Cricetulus griseus: one gene and its partner. Each later gene encodes a partner of the first gene's protein in a complex. Links are inferred from orthologs where the notes say so. Each region holds a gene or a part of one and is shown on either strand. Other genes may lie near its edges.

The links.
Region 2: Bag3 (region 1) and Hspb8 share a complex: the UniProt entries of both Homo sapiens proteins name them as parts of the chaperone-assisted selective autophagy (CASA) complex. The link is inferred for Cricetulus griseus from reciprocal best matches to the Homo sapiens genes BAG3 and HSPB8.

What each region holds. Positions count from the first base shown.
Region 1 is NC_048596.1:72,257,751-72,264,381, forward strand, and holds part of Bag3 (BAG family molecular chaperone regulator 3), read right to left. Parts: intron 2,961-6,631; coding exon 2,631-2,960; intron 806-2,630; coding exon 407-805; intron 1-406. UniProt on the Homo sapiens protein: Co-chaperone and adapter protein that connects different classes of molecular chaperones including heat shock proteins 70 (HSP70s), e.g. HSPA1A/HSP70 or HSPA8/HSC70, and small heat shock proteins (sHSPs), e.g. HSPB8.
Region 2 is NC_048597.1:96,472,701-96,479,431, reverse strand, and holds the start of Hspb8 (heat shock protein beta-8), read left to right. Parts: upstream 1-2,982; 5' UTR 2,983-3,509; coding exon 3,510-3,876; intron 3,877-6,731. UniProt on the Homo sapiens protein: Involved in the chaperone-assisted selective autophagy (CASA), a crucial process for protein quality control, particularly in mechanical strained cells and tissues such as muscle. Displays temperature-dependent chaperone activity.

The DNA of each region.
Region 1 (6,631 bases):
GTGATCAAGAGAACATAGACTAGAAAAAGGGAATCAGTGTACCTCTTAAAGGGGGGAACACACTGTGGTTGGGGTGTGAAGGGGGCATGGGGAGACCAGGAAAGGTGTGGTGAGCATTAAGGAACGAGATCCTAGGAGTCGAGAGTGACAACACCGAGTGCCAGCATTACCAAGCTCTCTCCTCTGCCCCTAGAGTGACTGGCTGCAATGGGAAGCAATCAGCTGAGCAAAAGCTGTGGAAAGTACTGACGAGGCAACCACTCCTGTCCTGTGTTTTCATCAAGGACCAGCAACTTCTAGAATTCTGCTTTTCTCTGGCTGTGCCTACGCTGACTAGGCAGCACGGCTGAAGAACCCCTCGGCCTGCTACAGCCCTCTGAATTTCTGCCCGCCACCTACTCCATACCTGAGGCCTGTCAACCACGGTGTGCACACGGATGGGTGATGGGGAGTGAACTGGTGTGCCGCTTCTGGCTGGAGAGCCTTCCCGGCTGGATGCACCTCGAACCGGTGACCTGAATGGGGATGCTGCCCGAAGAGGCCGGGGCTCCCAGTCATCCCCCTGGATCTTGTGGTAGACAGGCTGGTGGGTCTGGTATTCACCCTGCTGAGCTGGGTAGTGGGTCTTCTGGGCTTGGTGGAAGGAGGGCTGGGCTGCTGGCCGGGTGATGTTCTGCTCATGTATCACAGGGATGGGGATGTAGCCCCGGGGGAGCTGATGGCTACCCAGACTGCTCCTGCAGGAGGGCAGGCTGGCTGAGGAGGATGAGGATGAGCAATCTGAGGCAGCTGGAGACTGAGACCGCTGAAAGAAACAAAGGGCAGAGCATGGTACCATTAATGACCCTGCTGCTGTCCTGGCACTCCATCAGGTACCACCTGGCCAGGACAACACATTTCTCAAAGCCTTCCTGCTATAAACATTTCCACTTTCAAAATGTGAGGATAAGGGCTAAGCCTTCATGTGTCCCTTTGTGAGGGAGTACCACTTCACTTATCATATTGCTATCGAGACCAAGAAGGCTGGGGATGTAGCTCACTGGGAGAGCACTTGCCTAGCACCCACAAGGCTCCCAGACCTTGGACATGAAAAGGCCTGGGTTCAAACACCTGGAAGCTCAACAGTTCTCTGAGCCTCACCTGAACTATGGGAAAAGGCTAGGCTGCCTGCTCACCTCACTGGGATGCTTTAGGGATTACTGAATAGTCTATGCACTTGCCTCAGCAGGCAGCAGTGTGCACAGGAAGGGCGTGGCCCAATATCTGGTTGCTATGTCCTCACTTCCTCCTAACCTCTCATTGGAGAACACTGTGGAGCATCTGGGAGCTGCCTGTGTCTGGGTGCAGGTCAGGTCCCTTTCTCTTCTAATCGACCCCTCCCATCATCTAGAAAGTGAAGAAGATGGCTCTAAAATTTTCTAACATCTCTGACCAATGTACTATGTTGACTTATATACTGCATAAACTTTACAAACCTAGCAACCTCATCTCCAAGGAAGGAGAGACCTCCAGTATCCCAACATCAACTAATACTTTTCACCCCAGGCTGGTGAAGGTGAGCAAATATAGGGGTGGAGAGGCAATCAGGATGCCAGGGAATTGGGATACAAGCAGGAAATGGGGGCTTATACTCAAGAACAATGCCAAAGCCCCAGGGGATGAGCTGAAGACAGAAGGACCAAGAGGGCTTACCTGCTTAGGAACCCTACCAGGTCTGCTGGCCACAAATCTCAGCTCAGAGCTGGATGAACTATATTCTTGAGCTATTAACATGCCTTGCAGTGCTGAGCTCCAGGGCTCAAGCCCAAGTCTAAAGCTGTTGCCCTTCTGACTTAAGCTGTGTTTTCCTTTAGGGGCACACTCTTAAGACAGAGACGCCGGCCTGACTTCATAGGTCCCAGCAGAGGTCCAAGTGGTTGGTGTGTATATGGAAGGACTGAACAGAATAACTTAGGGCTCTCTGAAACAGAGAGCCCAGTGTGACTAGAAAGCTCTGACCCAGGAGGCCAGGCAGCTGCTCCCAGCTTTGTTGCCTCTACCTCTCTGCATTTTGACCATGCAGCTGCCACCTGGGCGCCAATTCTTTTACTACAAAAATAAGCTGGGCCACCTGAAAAACACAGGTGTAAGACGGGAACAATATGAGGCTGCCAAACTGTCTCTGCAATGAAGAACCATTGATGCAGCAGGCGGGGCCCAGAGCCCTACGTACTACCAGGTATCTGGCTCAGCATGAGCCAGGTCTGATGGGGGAAGTACTTCTGTGTATGTTTATCTTATTGATTATTGAATAAAGTACTGTTTGGCCAATGAGACAGCAAGGACTAGGAGTCAAAGGGGATTCTGGGAAATGTAGTAGAGAAGTGGTGATCCAGGCAGGAAGTGACATAGCAAGGAGAAACAGGAAGTGTCCTTTTTCCCCTCCGCTCTTCTTCCAGTGGCACAATGTGATCCACTGGCAAGGAGGGACACCAATGGAAGGTGTCCGATAAGATAACTCTTATAAAATAGATTTATGATAATTAAGACTGAGCTAAGAGATGAGAATCCTAGTCATTGGCTATGCAGCATTTGTACCTAATATGTCTCTGTATTATTTTGTCCATCCACGAGGCGGGTAGGTCTCTTACCTCAGGTCCATGGGCAGCCGAGGGCTGAGCTGCAGCAGCTGTGGGTACCTGTGCACACTGTTTATCTGGCTGGGTAGTCTCTGTCATGCCACCACGCAAAGGGGACTGGGACCTCTGAGGAGCAGCCGCTGCTGCCTCTGTTCGAAATCGCTGCACTCCAGGCTGGGAGTAGGCATGGTAAAGGTGTGGTGGCCGATTTTCAGTGCCTTCATGGAGGACAGGAATGGGAATGTAGCCCGGCCGGAGCTGGGGGTATATGGAGTGGCCTTCCCTAGTGGGCAGCAGCCTGGAGCCTTCACGAGAAGGGCCATTGGCAGAGGATGCAGTTTCCTAAGATAAAGTTAGGAGAAACAAAGACTGGTTAAAAACAGAGTGGACAAGCCGGGCTGTGGTGGCACATACCTTTAATCCCAGCACTTGGGAGGCTGAGGCAGGCGGATCTCTGTGAGTTCGTGACCAGTCTGGTCTACAGAGCGAGTTCCAGGACAGCCTCCAAAGCTACACAGAAAAACCCTGTCTCAAAAAACCAAGAACAACAACAACAACAACAAACAACAACAACAAAAAAAGAAAGAAAAGGAAGGAAGGAAGGAAGGAAGGAAGGAAGGAAGGAAGGAAGGAAGGAACAGGGCAGAAAGCCCCATGAGAGGGAACAGTGGTATCAAAGGCTCTGATCCTCCGGAGTGACTTGGGCTTCACAGGTCAGACAGGCTAGCCGATCACAGGGTGCCACACTGGTTCCACTGGCTCTGCTTTTTCTAGATTCCCAGAGAATGCTATGCAACCAACAGTGATTTAGGGGTACTGAGGCAGACTTTGGTGGCGCAAGCCTTTAATCCCAGCACTCGGGAGGCAGAGGCAGGCAGATCTCTGAGTTCGAGGACAGCCTGGTCTCCAGAGCGAGTGCCAGGATAGACTCCAAAGCTACACAGAGAAACCCTGTCCCAACCCCCCCATCCCCCCCAAAAAAGATTTAGGGGTGTTGGGAATGGTAGTGTATGACTTGACTCCCAGGACTTGAGAGGCAGAGCGAGATTTCTGACTTTGAGGCCATCCTGGTCTACATAATGAATTGCAGGCTAACCAGGGCTATATAATTAAACCTGTCTCAGGAGAAAAAAATAAAGATGAACTGCATCTGTAAGTCAAAATATGAGTTTGAAGCACAAGAGGGGAGTTATGATAACCAACATTATGATAAAGTGAGAGGGACCCTGGTGGATTCCATGGTTGGTGAGGTTGACTGAGGCAAGGACAAACACACCAGGCAGACACAGCTTAGTGAGAAGTTTTATTAGATAGGGAAGGGGTGGGGGTGGGGGAGGGAGGAGAAGGAAAGAGAAAAGAGGTAAAGACACACACTGACTAGAGAGGACAAAAGAGGGAGACAGGACAAGTCCTGTTTGCCCCAGGGGAACAGCAGGAAAGACAGAGAAAGAGTGTAAGTGGGTGGGAGTCTTCTTTTAAAGGGTCCTTTGCACCTGCATGCAGACTATGCAATCATGGAACCCTGGGCTGACCATGGTACTGCCTGAGTGCATTCTGCCAGGTGATAGGGGCAGGCCAACATAATGCCTGAATCCTTACAAGGGGTCTCACTCTCCCAGTGGGGAGACAGGTTTTTTTTTTTTTCTTTTTTCCTGGGTGACAGCAAGGCAGCAGTGTAGGACAGGAGACAGCAGCTATCTAACTACACCTGCCAATCTTCAGAGGCCGAAACCAGGAGGTGATCCCAGGAAGACTCAACTCTAACTACTGGAGTGCACCAAAACTTCTCAGCTTTGAATAAAGCTCTCACGTTTCCCAACCACACAGTTTGTATTTGATCCAAACACAGAACATAACTTAAAAGTCTTTCTGGAGAAGCATTATGTTTGTGTGCGTTTCAGGGGCTAGCTCCTTGGAAATATTTTTAGAACAAGCTGCAAGAAAGGGAGATACACAGGCATGCAGAAGTGCTGCAAGAAGAGAACAAAACCTGGGGATTAATTGTGCCAGTCTCATAAGGCCAACTCATAGGAGTCTGCCTGGCTAGACTTTAGAGCAAGGCTACGGAACTTTCTCCTAGCCTGTCTGTGCAGTTCCTTGTAAAATCCAGTTACTGCAAAAGAACAGCTGAGCCACATCACCAGAACCCCTCCTTCCTAGCCTACCACTGTGGCTATCTGGTCAGGTTCCCAGCTCTACCCTATCTCCAGTCCTCCCCAGGAGACAGATGTCTGATCACCTTGGCTTGTGAGAACCCTGCCAAGTGAGCTTAATCAGAATCCCCTTTGCCTTTGAACAGCTTTCTCCTTTGAGTGATTTTCTATCCACACGCCCGGCCCTGTGCCTTGTCTGTGCTCAGCTGCACTCATCTCTCCCCACGGCAACAGCAGCATCTCTATCTCAGTTGTCCCAATAAATTTTCCTTGTCATGCTTTAACAAGTACCATAGAACATTTTCCCCCTTCAATACAGTAAATCCTGTTTGGGCCAAGAGCAGTTGGGGGTCCTTCTCATGTCCTCTCACAAAGTTGTCCCTTTAGAGGCCTGGCTATTTTGGGACCCTTGAGAAGGCCAAGTTCCAGATGTACAGAGCTCTGGGGGAAGATCTTATTTCAGACACCGAGGCCAGCTATCCACTCACTGGGCAATGACATCTCTCTCTAATCAGCGGCTGTGCAACTTAGCCTCCAACCGTCTCCTAAGCAGAAGAGTCCTTCCACAGATCAGGGGAGCTGTGCTGTGTCACTTGCACATATCCAAGTAGGTCAGTATTTGGGAGAGTAAGCCTTCCTCAGCGAGATAGGTCTCTGAATAGCAAACAAACGTCAAAAGCTGGGAATCGGAATTCAGAGTGTAACTTCTACAGCTACAGAACTGGGCAAAAGCTAAGGACAGATAAGCTAAGGACAGTTGACTTGCATTTTGAATGAAAAGGCCATTAATTCTGTCATGTTTTATATTTATATACAAGTCTGGACACCAGGTGGCTGGCCCTGGAATGTGGCCCTTTCAAGCTCACCCACTGCCTCTCACCTGCTGAGACCTTGCCCCTGAAGGGCCTCCCAAGTACAGAAAAGGCAAGGGTGTCACTGTGTCCTTGGGGAGAGGGGTAGACAGGCACTTGGTACTCTCAGATTAGAATACCCACGTGCTCAGGACACCAGCATTATTTTAGCCTGCTTAACTCTCAGGTCACCCAAGAGCTGGGAGTAGATCCAGGCCTCACAGATAGAACCCAATTCTCTGGCCTTGAGGCATGCACCATTGGAAGCTGGCAGGACACAACCCAGAATCCTGCATTTTCAACACATTTTCTGAGTAATGTGTTCACTCACTCAGAAGGGACAGCCACCCTTCTTTGCAGTTGAAATCAGATTTTGCATAGCCCTGTCATGTTTTGGGGGACTGCCTGTGACATTGTTTCTTCTGGCATGAAGAGTCTCAGCTACTACCTACTCCTTAGAGCCAGGCAGCTTAGCAAGCCCGAGCTAGCCTCATCTAAAACTTCCAGTGGACATCAAGCCACCACTCAGATGAGCCTCAGCAGTCATCAAACCAACAAGATAGGACCCTTGCAAATAAGGATTTATAAGACAAGCAAAAGGGCTGGGGACATAGCTTGCTTGATAGAGTGCTGGCCTAGCATGCAGGAAATTCTGGATTCAATCGAGTCATAAAACCAGGTACAGTGGTGCACACTTATAATCCCAGCACTTGGGAGGTAGAGGCAGGAGGGCCACAAGTTCAAGGTCATCTCCAACTACATACTGAGTTTGAGATCAGCCTGGACTTCATGAGAGCCTGTTAAAAAACTAGATATGTGAATGCATGAAACAAAAGGAACCATGTCTACCTGAAAAGCAGGGGTGGCTGAGGTATAAGGAACATGTGGGGTTTCCCCACAGTGGGGGCCAGCCTCGCTAGGAGCCAAGCTCATTTCTGCCACCACTAGTCAACAGTCCAGTGAGCGCGGAGAATTCTCTTTCCCCTGTAAGCCTTCATTTCCCTTTCTA
Region 2 (6,731 bases), on another chromosome or scaffold:
AAAAAGAAAGCCTTGTAGAGCACACCCTCAAACACTCCCACAATCAGGACAGCCCAGCAGCACGTAAACACACACAACACCCACCCAAATCCACACACGCTCAGCCAGAGACAGCACTCTGGAACCCCACCCCAGCCCCTGCCTGGTCTCAGGCAGGGCCAGATTTCTCCCTGTTCATCGTCCAGGGTGACTCCCCTCATAATTAGCTGCAGACTCACTCAGCCCCTCCCAGCTGCAGTCTGTGCCCAGCCATGACGTCAGCTTAAGGTTTCTGGCACCATGAGCTCATCCCACATTGCATCAAGGCCACCCAGTAGCGGGGGGACACGTCATGCCAGGACAGGGGGCCCCTCTCTCCACTGGGCAAAAGCTGGGGGAAGGAGACATCTCAGTCCACCCACTCTAAACAGAGCCAAGATTCAAAACATTAGCTTTCCCACCAGGGCTCCTGCCATCCCACATCTGTGTGCCGGGGCCAGCTCTCCCCACCTGAAAAGTGGGGTGATGGTAACAAAGACAGTGTTGTGAACATTTCCTGCCATGCCTGCAGTGGCTCATGACAGTGAAAGGCACAGTGGAGTGATTCTGTTCTGTATTCTTCATTATTTATTTTTATTACATATATAGGGTTCTGCCTGCATATACATCTGCATGCCAGAAGAGGGCACCAGATCTCATTACGGATGGTTGTGAGCCACCATGTGGTTGCTGGGAATTGAACTCAGAACCTCTGGAAGAGCAGTCAGTGCTCTTAAACTCTGAGCTATCTCTCCACCTCCCCACCCCCGACCCTTGTGTTCTGTATTCTTATTTTGAGTAAAGTGCCTCATACAAGAAAAGCTTCCTATCAAAATGACTTTTCTACCTGTGACTCAAATTCCTCAACACCCTCACCCCATAAAGAAAGCACAGCTTGGGACCCGTAGGCTCACAAAGGGAAAATGACATGTCCCAAGCTGCCCACCTGTTGAGGACGGTGCAAAGACTGGAACCCCAAACCCAAGGCTAAAAGAAGATTTGTAAATCCATTCTCCCAGAGGTCTGGGGGAACAAGGAATTCTAGAAACTTGGAGCAGAGAGTTCTAGAAATGGTTCTTCCTGGATTGGGAGTTTCAGAACTAATATGCCATCTGGAGAATAGTACATCCAGGCAGTTATTACTGTTACTTAGGATAAAAATATAAACCCAGCCTGGTGGTGCTGGCCTGTAATCCAAGATGCTCAGGAGGCTGAAGCATGAAGCTCACAGGTAGAGTAGGCTGAGAGTGAGTTCACGGCCAGCCTAGGTAGATTAATGAGATGCTATTTGAAAACAAAGAATAAGGAAGTAAAAGGGTTTCTCTACCTGCTTCTCTACCTTTGTGTGTGTGTGTGTGTGTAAATATATATATATATATATATATATGTGTGTGTGTGTGTGTGTGTGTGTGTGTGTGTGTATATATATATATATATTACAGACTAAGATCCCATATGAGGGATATCATAGTAGGACAACATAGTAACCTTTAGAAAGGACACCAAGAGGGGACTTATTAGGTGATAGAGAAGGAATGCAAGAAAAGGACACACGAGTCATGAAAGAGGCTAGAAAGCAATAGTTTGTGACTGTTTTGTTGTTGTTTGTTCTGTGTGGTGGATATGTGACTAGAAATGTAACTGAGTGAGTGAGGACATAAAACATGAAGCTCCAGTACTTGGGCACGGCCATCTGTATAGAGGTTCACTCTGAGATGGGGACAGGGCAGGTGTCCAGGTGGCTAGCTTAAACCAGCTGTGCGATGTCTTTATTTGTGAACCCATCACAATAAAGTGATTTTATGGAAGGAGAGGGTTAGGATGCAGCTATCCAGCTTGTGTAAGGCTGAGTTCTGCCTCCAGTACCACAGTCAATCAATAAAAGTTTTTTAAAAAGTTATGACTTATGATGGTTTGCTCTGCTGCCAAACAGGACAGTAGTAGAGCCCTTAGCTATCTGTGTGGTGGTGGGTGGGGGAGGTTCCACCGGCTAATGTTTATGAAGTGCTTAAGAGAAAACATTACACAACTGATAAGTTGAAAGTTGAAAGCCTATGAACACAGATCCTTCTACCAAGTATGTGACATCATGCATTCCTGATGACGCATCCCCAAGTAGGCTCCTCTCCTGCCCATTTCGCAGGTGGGAAACAAGCAGCTCAGGCATGCCTGGGAGTAATGTTACCACTGAGCAACACTCTTCCCTTGACCAAACGTCAGCCAGACTCCTCCTCAGAGGGAGGGCCAGGCGTTCATTGCCTTCACCTACTTTTAACAAGAACATGTCAGTTTAGCCACAACCCCCACGGTTCCCTATATGACCACCCCTCCACCCCCATGCCAGATCAATTGCTTTTCCTCTTCTAGTTTTCAGGTGAGGTCTGGCCACCCCAGCCTATCCTTAGAGGAATGCAGTTAGGTCAGTTTATCCAGAATCCCTCAGACCCCTGGATCCCCCTCAGTCATTTCTCATACATTGACCCCCATTCTGCCTCCAGGCAGTGTTGGGAGTTGAGCCCAATTTCTTCTCTTGCTCCAAGACCTTCCTATCCCAATAGACACTCTGTCAGGTTTTTTTTTTTTATATGACTTAACAAGTGTCATTAAAGAAAAATCATGATATGTTGTTGTTGGTCACTCTCAGAAGTCGGAGATACCTTTGGTCAAACTGTAAGTGGGGATTCCATCTACTTTTCAATCTAATGGGCCGATGTCTCTCTTCTTCTGTGGGTCCCCAGGGTGGGAGGCAAGATAGAACATGTTCTGGGGATGGTATTTCCAGAGTATGACCTGAACACTCAGCCAGGCGGAGGGTTATTAATAGTCTGGCTTTAGTGCCCTGTGGGACACTAGTGCCTGGAGTGGACGCTGCTGGAGTCAGAGGGAGGGCGGGGCGGAGCTGAGTACGGGGAGGAGAGAGTGCGGGAGAGGCTGGCTAGACTCGGACGCCACGGCCCCTCCCAGCTCTCCACCCGCTCCCGGAGCCCAGTTGTTCTCTCAGCGGATTCTCAGGGGCTGGTTCATCACCTTCGAATACTCCTGGGACAGGAGGTGCTTGCAAAACCCGCCCCCAGCCCCCAGCAGCAAATAAATACAAGGCTCCCAGCCCAGAAGCCAGGAGAAGTTTCTAGGCGCACGTCCCTGAGGTTTATTAAACTCCTGGCTGTGCTCAAGACCTCAGCAGCGGCCCTGGCTGGGAGCCTGGGAAGCCTGGGAGGCGGGTGACTTGCTGATAGCCTGGTGAGGTGGGACAGACAGAGGCCCTTTGGGATTCTGCTGGGCCTGCTTGGTGGGTCACATTTGTGAGCCAGGATCCCAGCTCCCTTCTGGGCAGCGGATGGTTGGGCTTGTGGCTAACAGAAGATCAGAATTTTCTGAAGCGGAGGACTAAACTCTGAAAACCATCTCAAGCCACATCACCTTGCTGTGTGATCTTGGGTAGGTGGCTCTGTCTCTCTGAGCCTCTATTTCCCCTCAGCTCAGCAGACACCATGGCTGATGGGCAGTTGCCTTTCCCGTGCTCCTACCCAAGCCGCTTGCGCAGAGACCCCTTCCGGGACTCACCGCTCTCTTCCCGCCTGCTGGACGATGGCTTTGGCATGGACCCCTTCCCAGATGACTTGACAGCCCCTTGGCCTGATTGGGCTTTGCCTCGGCTCTCATCTGCCTGGCCCGGAACCCTAAGATCCGGCATGGTGCCCCGGGGGCCTACAGCCACAGCCAGGTTTGGAGTGCCTGCTGAGGGCAGGAGCCCCCCACCCTTCCCCGGGGAGCCCTGGAAAGTGTGTGTCAACGTGCACAGCTTCAAACCTGAAGAGCTGATGGTGAAGACCAAGGATGGATACGTAGAGGTGTCAGGTGAGTGAGGGACAGACAGCCAGGGCGTGTGTGTGTGTGTGTGTGTGTGTGTGTGTGTGTGTGTGTGTGTGTGTTCAACCTAGACGCAACTTCAGTAAAAGGGACCTGTGACAGACAACGTGGCACAGGTGACCTCAGGTCTCAGGAATGCAGCCCACAATGTTATCATTAGAGACACGTGCTTCTCAATGGGGGACAGAAAGAGAATGAATGTGACCCAGTAGCTGGGGTCCTCAGGGCATGGTGCCCACCTGAGAGAACTGGCAGGGACCAGATTGGCAATTTTGAAGTAGACAGTTTAATATGAAGAATAGATTGATTCGTGGAGGACTTCTGAAGACACAGGAACAGGGGTTACCATACCCCAAAGCCACAACACTGGGGTCGGGGGAGTGGGGCAGGATGAATGCTGAGTCGCCATGCTATCAACAAGAGTAGGAAACTGAGGCTGGATGGTTATGACAGCACTACAGCTGCTAACCTTGGTAAAGAGGTGTCTGCCTGGTACCAGAAGCCAGAAACCCAGCATCAGGTAGCACCTGTGTTAATATAGCCAGAGGAGGTGGCTGCATTAACTGTCCACCTGTCCCCTTTGGACTTAGGAAATGGAGGTCAGCAGAGTCTAGCATAATTTGCTCAAGGTAGCAAAGGGTTCCAACCCAGGCTGCCTTGGGAACTGAGGGACAGAAGGGATCTATCTAGCCATCTATTTATTTATTTGTTTGCTTATTTATTTATTCGTTTGAGCCAAGTTTCTAAGCTGAGTTATAAAAACACACAAATTAACCCTACTACCACCAGCACCAGCAACAACAAGAAAAACCAGTTAAAAATCAACTTCCTGTGACCCTTCATCCCCTGACTATCTACTCCCATCTTGCAGCTGAGGAGGCCTTGTCCCAGGTCATCCAGTGAGTCAGCAAAAGGACCAGAGCAGAGCTTAGGCCTGGCCACAGCGTCAGGCCCAGGGCTTTCCCTACCCCATTGCACTCTGGGAGAACGAATCCGCTGGGGGGAAAAGACAGAGGAGACAGGAAGCCTGGCCCCTGGTGAGATGGGCCTCAGCTTTCTGCCTCCCTTCCAATTAACAGGCCATTAAAAAGAACTTGTTCCTGGCAGGGGCCTGAAGCCAGAAAATCAATAGCAAGCCTGCTGTAAGCACTAGCTGAGCAGAGACAAGCCCCAGCAGTGTTCAAGGGGGCCTGGAGGGTGGGGGTGGATTAAAGTCACTTGGAATAGAATTGTGAACATCAAAGGTTGTGAGTGTGGGTGTGGTGGGGCAGGCACACCGGGGCACGTGCTGACGTGGGTGTGGGCTCGGCACTGGCTGGTGAGCCAACACTAGCTCGGCTGCTGGCTAACCAACAGGACGGGCTATTCTTCAGCTGTCTTGTTCCTTTTTGGACATGGAGGTCTCCACTGGTCCTCAGGAAGGGTGGAGGTAGCTTCCAACAGGGCAATATTTATATAGTGGGTGCATGGATATTAAGTTTGTTTTTGTAAACAGAAATACAGCGGTAGCCATGGTGTGGGCATGTAGGGAGGTCCCAGTAGATAATAAATGATAAACACTATGAGACCTAGGTTCAAATTCCAACCAGGCTGTGAGGTAGCCAAATGGATACCAACTAGGAGCCTCAGTTTCCCTGTCTGTGCAATGGGAATTATGGTCATTCCTGTCACATGAGGCTAGTGGGAAGATGTAGTAAATGCAGAAGATAAGTCCAGAACATCTGTAAAATGGAGTTAGTACAGCATCCTGCAGATTGAGGTCATCACCACCCCACCCTTGTTCAGTTTTAATGACGGTTGTTTAATGCAGAGGCTTCCAGATCGCCCACACCCTGAAGCCTTATCTGAAGGTACTCCTTAACAGGTGGAGTCTGGCAGCCACCAGCTGAGATCTCAAGTAGGAACCCTAGTGATCCAGAGGCTTGGGGGTGTATCACAGAGCCTCACTGTCTCTGTCTGTGAAATGGGAACACTGGAACTAAGACAAAAAGATAAATCCTGTACTTGTGCAGCTAATTGCAGCCCCAGCTATACAGACTTCAAACCCACTGAAGGTGCATGCAAAAGTTTTCTTCCCTGATAGGAGTTTAAGAACTAAGGTCTGGGGCTCCCTGCAAAAGCAGCTTTTAAAGGGGAGCCAGGGAGCAGAGTCAGTATCCTACCTACATCATGCAATAAGCACAAGCAGTTCAGACCAGACCTTTGCTCACTGACCACTCGGATTGGCTTACTGGGAGGTTACTCATGATGCTTTTTAGAAGTGTGGGTAGGTATGTAACATCACCCCTGCCCATTTTACAGATAGTGAAACTGAGGCAGGCCTACAGAGGCTAACTCACCCAGCACGACCAACCACCTACTTCCTCTCTGGCAGTATATAATATTTTAAAGATAGTCCCGGCCTAGAGGTTCACTGACTGACTCTAGTTCTGACTGTGAAGCTGTTTAGACTTCCCACCCTCAATCCTGGAACTCAGCATCAATGCTGCCTCACAAAGAAGGGGGCTAGGTCAGATTTGCCTCATCATCTGCTTCCGGGTGTCTAGGGAATGGATGAAAGGTTGTTCTGAATTGCAGATGATGCCCGATGAGCCAGAATCATAAGTAAGCCTCTGCCTCATTGCAGGGCTTCTCAGAGCCTCCCCTTGTCCATACAGTTTACAGATATTAAGAGTCAGCCCCATCTTATCTGACCATGTAGGAAGACCCCGCTCCAGGAAAGTGTTTGGAAAATGTGGGTTCATGATTTCCATCACGAATCACCTTCCCCTACCCCTACCCTGCAGCCACCAGCCAAGAATGATCCCTTCTGGGCCAGGCCTTGGTTAAGGAAAGACTGGAAA